2 linked regions of the Oryctolagus cuniculus genome follow. The protein of the gene in region 1 interacts with the protein of each later gene in a pairwise test. Links are inferred from orthologs where the notes say so. Each region holds a gene or a part of one and is shown on either strand. Other genes may lie near its edges.

What was found. The genes of interacting proteins can lie anywhere in the genome.
Region 2: the proteins of C1H11orf68 (region 1) and CSDE1 interact in a two-hybrid assay, tested with the Homo sapiens proteins (2 studies listed by BioGRID and IntAct). The link is inferred for Oryctolagus cuniculus from reciprocal best matches to the Homo sapiens genes C11orf68 and CSDE1.

Annotation. Positions count from the first base shown.
Region 1 is NC_091432.1:5,855,965-5,859,709, forward strand, and holds C1H11orf68 (UPF0696 protein C11orf68 homolog), read left to right. Parts: upstream 1-1,510; 5' UTR 1,511-1,588; coding exon 1,589-1,701; intron 1,702-2,142; exon of another isoform or gene 2,143-2,234; coding exon 2,235-2,991; 3' UTR 2,992-3,518; downstream 3,519-3,745. Other genes in the region: DRAP1 (dr1-associated corepressor), read right to left, coding at 322-415, 507-626, 717-810, 894-966, 1,152-1,193.
Region 2 is NC_091438.1:55,577,223-55,580,967, reverse strand, and holds the start of CSDE1 (cold shock domain-containing protein E1), read right to left. Parts: upstream 2,536-3,745; 5' UTR 1-2,535. UniProt on the Homo sapiens protein: RNA-binding protein involved in translationally coupled mRNA turnover.

The DNA.
Region 1 (3,745 bases):
GCTGTGACCCCGGGAGTGGCCGCGGGTCACTGGGGAGCTGAGACCCGGGAATGGCCGTGGTCACTGGGGAGCTGAGACCCGGGAATGGCCGTGGTCACTGGGGAGCTGAGACCCGGGTCACTGGGGAGCTGAGACCCGGAGTGGCCGCGGTCACTGGGGAGCTGAGACCCGGGAATGGCCGTGGTCACTGGGGAGCTGAGACCCGGGTCACTGGGGAGCTGAGACCCGGGAGTGGCCGCAGTCACTGGGGAGCTGAGGCCCGGGAGTGGCCGCGGGGAAGGACGGGACCAGGGCAGGGCAGAGGCCGGGGCCCGCGCTCACCTCCTGCTCCGAGTCTGTGCCCGACAGCTTCTTGTCTTTGCCTTTGCTCCCCACGCCTCCGTTCTTGCGGCCGCCGCTGCCCGGCTTCCGGCCCCTTGGGGGAGGCACGGTCCGTGTGCCCAGAGGTCCCCCGCCGCCGCCCGCCGCCGCCCGCCGCCGCCCGCCCCCGCGGCCCCGGCCCGCACCTGCGAGGCGCCTTGTCCGCATCCATGTGGTTGTCGTCCCCGTCGCCCTGCATGTCGGGGACCGACGCCACCAGGTCCTTGAGGAAGTCAAACTGTTGCTCCTGCTCGATGCACTGCTTCCTGCGGGAGGCGGCGGACCGGGGGTGACGCCGCGGCCGGGCCGCCCCCCGCAGCCGCCCGCCGCCCTCCCCCGGCGCCGGGGCCACGCACAGGTGCGACGTGGTCATGGTCTTGGCGTTGCGGGACTGGGTCACCTGGCACGCTTTCTTCAACAGCGACTCGAGGAACAGCTCGAGCGCCCGGGCTGGGGGGCGTCAAGGAGCACGCGGGCGCCGGGCGGCCGCCCCCCGCCCGCACACGCCCCCCGCCCGGCGCCCCCAAGGATACAGATGATGACCGGCACGGCCGCCGCCACCTTCCCGATCTCCTCGTCCGTCTGCATGATCTTCTTGATGCGCGCCTGCGGGGCGGACAGCGCTCGGACCCCCTCCGCCCGCTGCGGCGGGTGGGGGTCCCGGGAGAAAGGGGGCGGGGCGCCAAGCCCCCACCACCACCACGAGCACCGCGATGCGCCCGCCCCCCACACCCCCGCGGCGGGGCCCGGACCCTGAGCCTCCGCCGCGCCGGGCCCCGCCACGTGCTCACCGGCGGGAACCGCGCGTTGTACTTCTTCTTCTTGCTCGGCATCTCCGGGCCTCTCTCGCCGCGCCGGGCCCCGCGCCGCCGCCCGCAGCCTCCGGGCGCCCGGGCCTGCTCGCCGCCGGCCCGCCGCGGTTCCCCCGGGTCCTGGCGCCGCCGCTCCCCGGCAGGGTCCTAGCGCCGCCCGCTCAACGCCGCTCGCTGCGCCCAAGCGCCCGCCCCCCTGGCGTCTCCCAGGCGTCTCCCGTCTCCGCCGCTCCCGCCCGCCCCAAGGCCCCAGCTGCGAACGTTAGCCCCGCCCCCGCAGGCCCGCCCCGCCCCGGGGTCGGCCCCGCCCCCGCAGCGCCGGCCCCGCCCCGCAGCGCGGCGGATGCGGCGCGGCGGCCCCGCCCCTGTGGCCGCGCTTGTCTATAAAGTTGTTGTTGAGACGGCGGGGCGCTAAGATGGCGGCGGCGGCGGCCGTGGCGGGGGCGGGGCGCGGCGGCGGCGCGGAGCCCCGGCAGGAGCGGAACCGGACCCGGAGCTGGGCCGGCGCGGAACGCAGCGAAGGCCGGAGGTGACTGCGGGGCGGCGAGCGGGGCGGGCCCGGGGCAGAGCCCCGACTCGGGCGGTGGGCGCGTCGGCCCCTCCGGCTGGCCGGACAGGCCCGGGTTCGAGTCCTAGCACTGCCCCGTTCGTCTCCGACCGGTCACTGCCGTCTGGGGGCCTCGAGGTCCTCGCCTCGAAGTGGGCCCGGTAACGCCCCCAGGGAGGCCCGGCCTTCCAGGGCCCGCCGCGGGGGCTGCGTGAACCTCCTCTTCCCTGCCTCTCCCTCCACGCCCGGCCCCGCTGGCCGGGGGTAGCTGAGGCCGGAGCTCCCGCACCTGCGTTCCTGCGTGGGCCCTGCCCCTTGCCCTGCAACCGGTGTGCTGCGGGAGCGCCAAGGGGAGTAGTAGCGCCCCCGGCACCGAGGCTCAGGTAGGCGTTCTCCACCTGGGGCATCTGATTGTCCCAGCAGAGCCAGCAGCTGTCCCATTGTAGAGACGAGGCAACCGAGGCCGGCCACACGGTTTAGCGCGGCGCTGCTCTGACGGGGTTCCCTCCCGGCAGGATGGAGCCAGGTGAGGAGCTGGAGGAGGAGGACTCTCCCGGCGGCCGGGAGGACGGCTTCACCGCGGAGCACCTGGCTGCTGAGGCCATGGCCGCCGACATGGACCCCTGGCTGGTGTTCGATGCCCGCACCGCGCCTGCGGCCGAGCTGGATGCCTGGCTGGCCAAGTACCCGCCGTCGCAAGTCACCCGCTACGGGGACCCCGGGTCGCCCAACGCCGAGCCCGTGGGCTGGATCGCCGTGTACGGGCAGGGCTACACCCCCAACTCCGGCGACGTGCAGGGGCTGCAGGCGGCCTGGGAGGCTCTGCAGAGCAGCGGCCGGCCTGTCACGCCGGGCACCCTGCGCCAGCTCGCCATCGCCCACCGCGTGCTGTCGGGGAAGTGGCTGATGCACCTGAGCCCTGGCTTCAAGCTGGACCACGCCTGGGCCGGCGTCGCCCGGGCCGTCGTGGAGGGCCGGCTGCAGGTGGCGAAGGTGAGCCCGCGCGCCAAGGAGGGGGGGCGCCAGGTGATCTGCGTCTACACGGACGACTTCACGGACCGCTTGGGCGTCCTGGAGGCGGATTCGGCCATCCGCGCGGCGGGCATCAAGTGCCTGCTCACCTACAAGCCCGATGTGTACACCTACCTGGGCATCTACCGCGCCAACCGCTGGCACCTGTGCCCCACGCTCTACGAGAGCCGCTTCCAGCTCGGGGGCGGGGCCCGCGGCTCCCGCGTGCTGGACCGCGCCAACAACGTGGAGCTGACCTAGCGGGGTGACCACGCCCTGGCCTCCCCCGCCCGGGCGGCCCGGCCTCGTCCTCCTTGTCCCGAGAAAGCCACGCCCCCAGCTCTGAGGACAAGGTCGCCCAACAACCGCCTGCATCTCCGGTCCCCTTGGACTTGTGCCCTGGCTGCCGCCGGCCCCCAGGGGGCGGGCCTGGGCCTCCCTCTTCCTCGCAGCTCCGCCCTGCAGCCCAGGGCCACGGGGTGGGTGCAGACACCCAAGAAGAGAGCCCCGCCGCACCTCCCCTCCGCCTGCACTCGCCAGCTCTCCTTCCCCCCTCTCACGGGGAACACAGTGCTTCCAGTCCCGCCCCGTGGAGCCTCTAGTGCGGGGGCCAGGGCCCGCAGGCGTGAGCGTGCCATTTAGCCAGGAGGGTCCTTGCGCCCACATCCCCGGGCAGAGAGGGGATGTGCACCACGGACACGGCCCGCCCCCTCTGCCACCTCCCTCTCTTCCCAGCTACCAGACACGTGCCTGCTCCTGGCATCTCAATAAAACCCAGCCTGGGTCTGTGTCCTGAGTGTTTTTCCAAAACCTGGGTGGTTACCTGCTGTGGTTGCTGGGAGCGGCGGGGCCAGGACACACACACCCCCCACCCGCACATACCCAGCTGGCCGCCTTCCCGCCCGCCCCCTCCTGCACCCCGTTGACGCGGTAGGCCTTGGTGCCGGGCCCTGGCTCCCCCGGGAGCCCCAGCGGAGCAGAACCGCAGAACCAGTCCCTCGGTGGCTTCCAGTAA
Region 2 (3,745 bases), on another chromosome or scaffold:
CAAAAAAAAAAAAAAAAAAAAAAGTCATGGAATGCCAAGAATTGCCAGCAACCCCAGAAACTGGAATAGGGGCATGGAACACATTCTCCCTCAGAGCCTTCATGAGGAATCAACACTTTTTATTTCAGACTTAGCCTTCAGGTCTATGAGGAAATATGTTTGCTTTTAAAAAACAATTTATTTGTTTGAAAGGCAGAGTTAGAGAGGGCAGGGAGAAACAGAATCTCAAAGTGCCCTCAACAGCTGGCAGAAGGCCAGGCCAAAGTCAATACCAGGAACTCTATCCAGGTCTCCCACATGGGTGGCAGGGGCCCAAGTACTTGGCCAGCATCCACTGGCTCCCCAGCACATTCCCAGGAAGCTGGATCGGCAGTATCAAGTAGCTGAGACTCCAACTATCACTCCAATATGGGATGCAGGCATCTCTTGCAGTTTAAATTGCTGAGCCACATGTCTTCCTCAAATTTCTGTTGGTTTAAACCACAGTTTGTGACACCTGCTTATGGCAACCATAGGAAGCTAATACACAAAGAAACTATGCAAATATCCCATTTCTGCTTAAACTTTACTTTTTTTTTTTTAAAGTACTAATTTGAAAGGCAGAGCAACAGAGGGAGAGACAGAGATCTTCTGTCAGCTGGTTCACTCTCCAAATGGCTGTAACAGTCAGCTTTGGGCCAGGCGGAAGCCAGGAGCCAGGAACCCCATTTGGTCTCCCACATGGATGGCAGGGACCCAATACTTGAGCCACTCTCCACTGCCTTCCCAGGCACATAACAGGAGCTGGATGGGAAGTGGAGCAGCCAGGAATGGAAGTGGTGCACCAATATTGGATGATGTCATTCCAAGTGGAGGCTTAGCCCACAATGCCACAACACCAGCCCTTGGGCTTCAAGTTTAGTCCACTGGTTTTAGCATCTATTGCTGGATCTTGCCGAATCTCTTTTGCCACGTAGAACTGTTATTGGACCACCAACATTTGTGCTGCACCACTTCCTCAAAGGGTGCTTTATTGTTTCTAGGGTTTTATTTCAAGCTGTGAAAAGCCATTGAAGTAGGCAAAATTTCTCCAATGGCCACCAGATTCCCACTGCCTGGTATAGATGCTGTTTCAATCCCTCTTGAACATGGGTGGGACCTATGAATATAAGAAAACATCACTCTTTTAAAGTAAAGGAATCACTACAGATATAATTAAGATCTCTAGTTGTCTTAGTCAAGATTATTCTGGCTAGGCCTGACTCAATCAGGTGTGTTCGCAAAAGAGAGAAAAAAGGTGGAAGACAAGAGAATTCACACAGATGGTCTCTGTTGGTCTTGGAGACAGTCTTTGTGAGTTCCACAGGCACAAGAAAATGAGTTTTTTCGGGGCCGGCGTCGTGGCTCATTTGGTTAATCCTCCGCCTGCAGTGCTGGCATCTCATATTGGTGCCAGGTTCTAGTCCCAGTTGCTCCTCTTCCAGTCCAGCTCTCTGCTGTGGCCCAGAAGGGCAGTGGAGGATGGCCCAAGTGCTTGGGCCCCTGTACCTGTGTGGGAGACCAGGAAGAAGCACCTGGCTCCTGGCTTCGGACTGGCGTAGCTCTGGCCATAGCAGCCATTTGGGGGATGAACCAACAGAGGAAAGACCTTTCTCTTGGTCTCTCTCTCTCTAACTCTATCTGTCAAATAAATTAATTAAAAAAAAAATCAGGTGGACTGAGTTGTCCTACTTGAAAAAAAAAAGAAAATGAGTTTTTCAATATTCATGAGTTTTGAAGGGGGCTCAGAGCCTCAGAAAAGATGAAAGCCTTGTCCAACACCTTGATTTCAGCCCTGTGAGGCTGACAGAACTCATTTGATCCCTGTAGGGACTTCCAGCCTACAGAACTGTGAGATAATAAATGGATGAGTGTTGTTCTAAACTGCTAAACTTGTACTAACTTGTTAGATGGTAGTAAAAATGAACATGGCCATACTCCAAATTTTTATATTGGCACTCTCCTGATCATATAAGTTTTTCATGAAAAATGCACAGAAACAGCCAAAACCTGGATTCCTTTTTCAAACGCTCCTTAGTTTGTTGACTGAGATTGCCTTTGTCCAGTCATACCCCAGGAATGCAAACCAAGTTTGCTTATGCTCACAATTAACCACATCACAATCTCAGACATTCCAACTTGAGTGATGTTAAAAAATGAAATAAAAGGCCGGCGCCGCGGCTCACTAGGCTAATCCTCCACCTGTGGCACCGGCACACCGGTTTCTAGTCCCGGTCGGGGCGCCGGATTCTGTCCCCGTTGCCCCTCTTCCAGGCCAGCTCTCTGCTATGGCCCGGGAGTGCAGTGGAGGATGGCCCAAGTCCTTGGGCCTTGCACCCGCATGGGAGACCAGGAGAAGCACCTCCTCCTGGCTTCGGATCAGCGCAATGCGCCGGCCGCAGCGCACTGGCCACAGCGGCCATTGGAGGGTGAACCAACGGCAAAAAGGAAGACCTTTTTCCTGTCTCTCTCTCTCTCACTATCCACTCTGTCAAATAAATAAATAAATAAATAAATAAAAACATTTCTAGGATAACATACAGAAACTCAACCATTAATTCCACAGATATTTTCAGGCTCCCTGAACTGCTGAGTGAAGTTATTTGAAGCTCTGAAAATTCTGCCTCCTTTAGCAGGTTTTGGAGAGTGATAAAAGAAAAGGCATCATCCACATTCCACTATGAATAACAGTAGATAAAACTCATCAGTTCATTCTGAAAGTTGCCATCAGACTTTCCAGCGAAATAGGAAACATGACAGCTTATAAACATGTGTAACACAGATGAAGTAGGTCAATTAGTTGTCATATTAGTGTATGACACAGATAGGTATGTATGTAGTACAGATGAAGTGGGTGAACAATTAAAAATTAGTTGTCATACAGTAGCAAGAATTTTCTATTTATTTTATTATTTTTTTTTGACAGGCAGAGTGGACAGTGAAAGAGAGAGACAGAGAGAAAGGTCTTCTTTTGCTGTTAGTTCACCCTCCAATGGCCGCTGCGGCTGGCGCGCTGCGGCCGGCGCACCGCGCTGATCCGATGGCAGGAGCCAGGTGCTTCTCCTGGTCTCCCATGGGGTGCAGGGCCCAAGGACTTGGGCCATCCTCCACTGCACTCCCGGGCCACAGCAGAGATCTGGCCTGGAAGAGGGGCAACCGGGACAGAATCCAGCGCCCCAACCTGGACTAGAACCCATTGTGCCGGCACTGCTAGGTGGAGGATTAGCCTAGGGAGCCACGGCGCCAGCCAAAAATTAGTTGTCATATAGTAGCAAGAATTTTCAAAAATGTCATTACCTATGTATCTGAGCAATGAATTTTATAATCACACAATGAAATATATACTGGTGAAAATGAATGAATGATGGTTGTCTACAACAAAAATGTATGAATCTTAAAATTGAATGAAAAAAATCATATTCCTATACTACAAAAAAACACACCATTTTTATAAAGTTCAAAAAGGAACAAAACTAAAAAAGAAAAGTCACTTTAGGGATAAATATTCTAGGCCTTTTTACATGTGATAAAACTACTAAAGGGAGCAGGGGGTGGAGAAAGATAGGAGGGGCTCAAATAGATGAAAGCAAAGCACTGGTAGTATTCCAATTCTTTTTTTTTTTTTTAAGATTTATTTATTTATTTGAAAGGCAGTTACAGAGAGAAGGAGAAACAGAGAGAAAGAATCTTCCATTCCTTGGTTCATTCCCAAAATGAACACAATGAC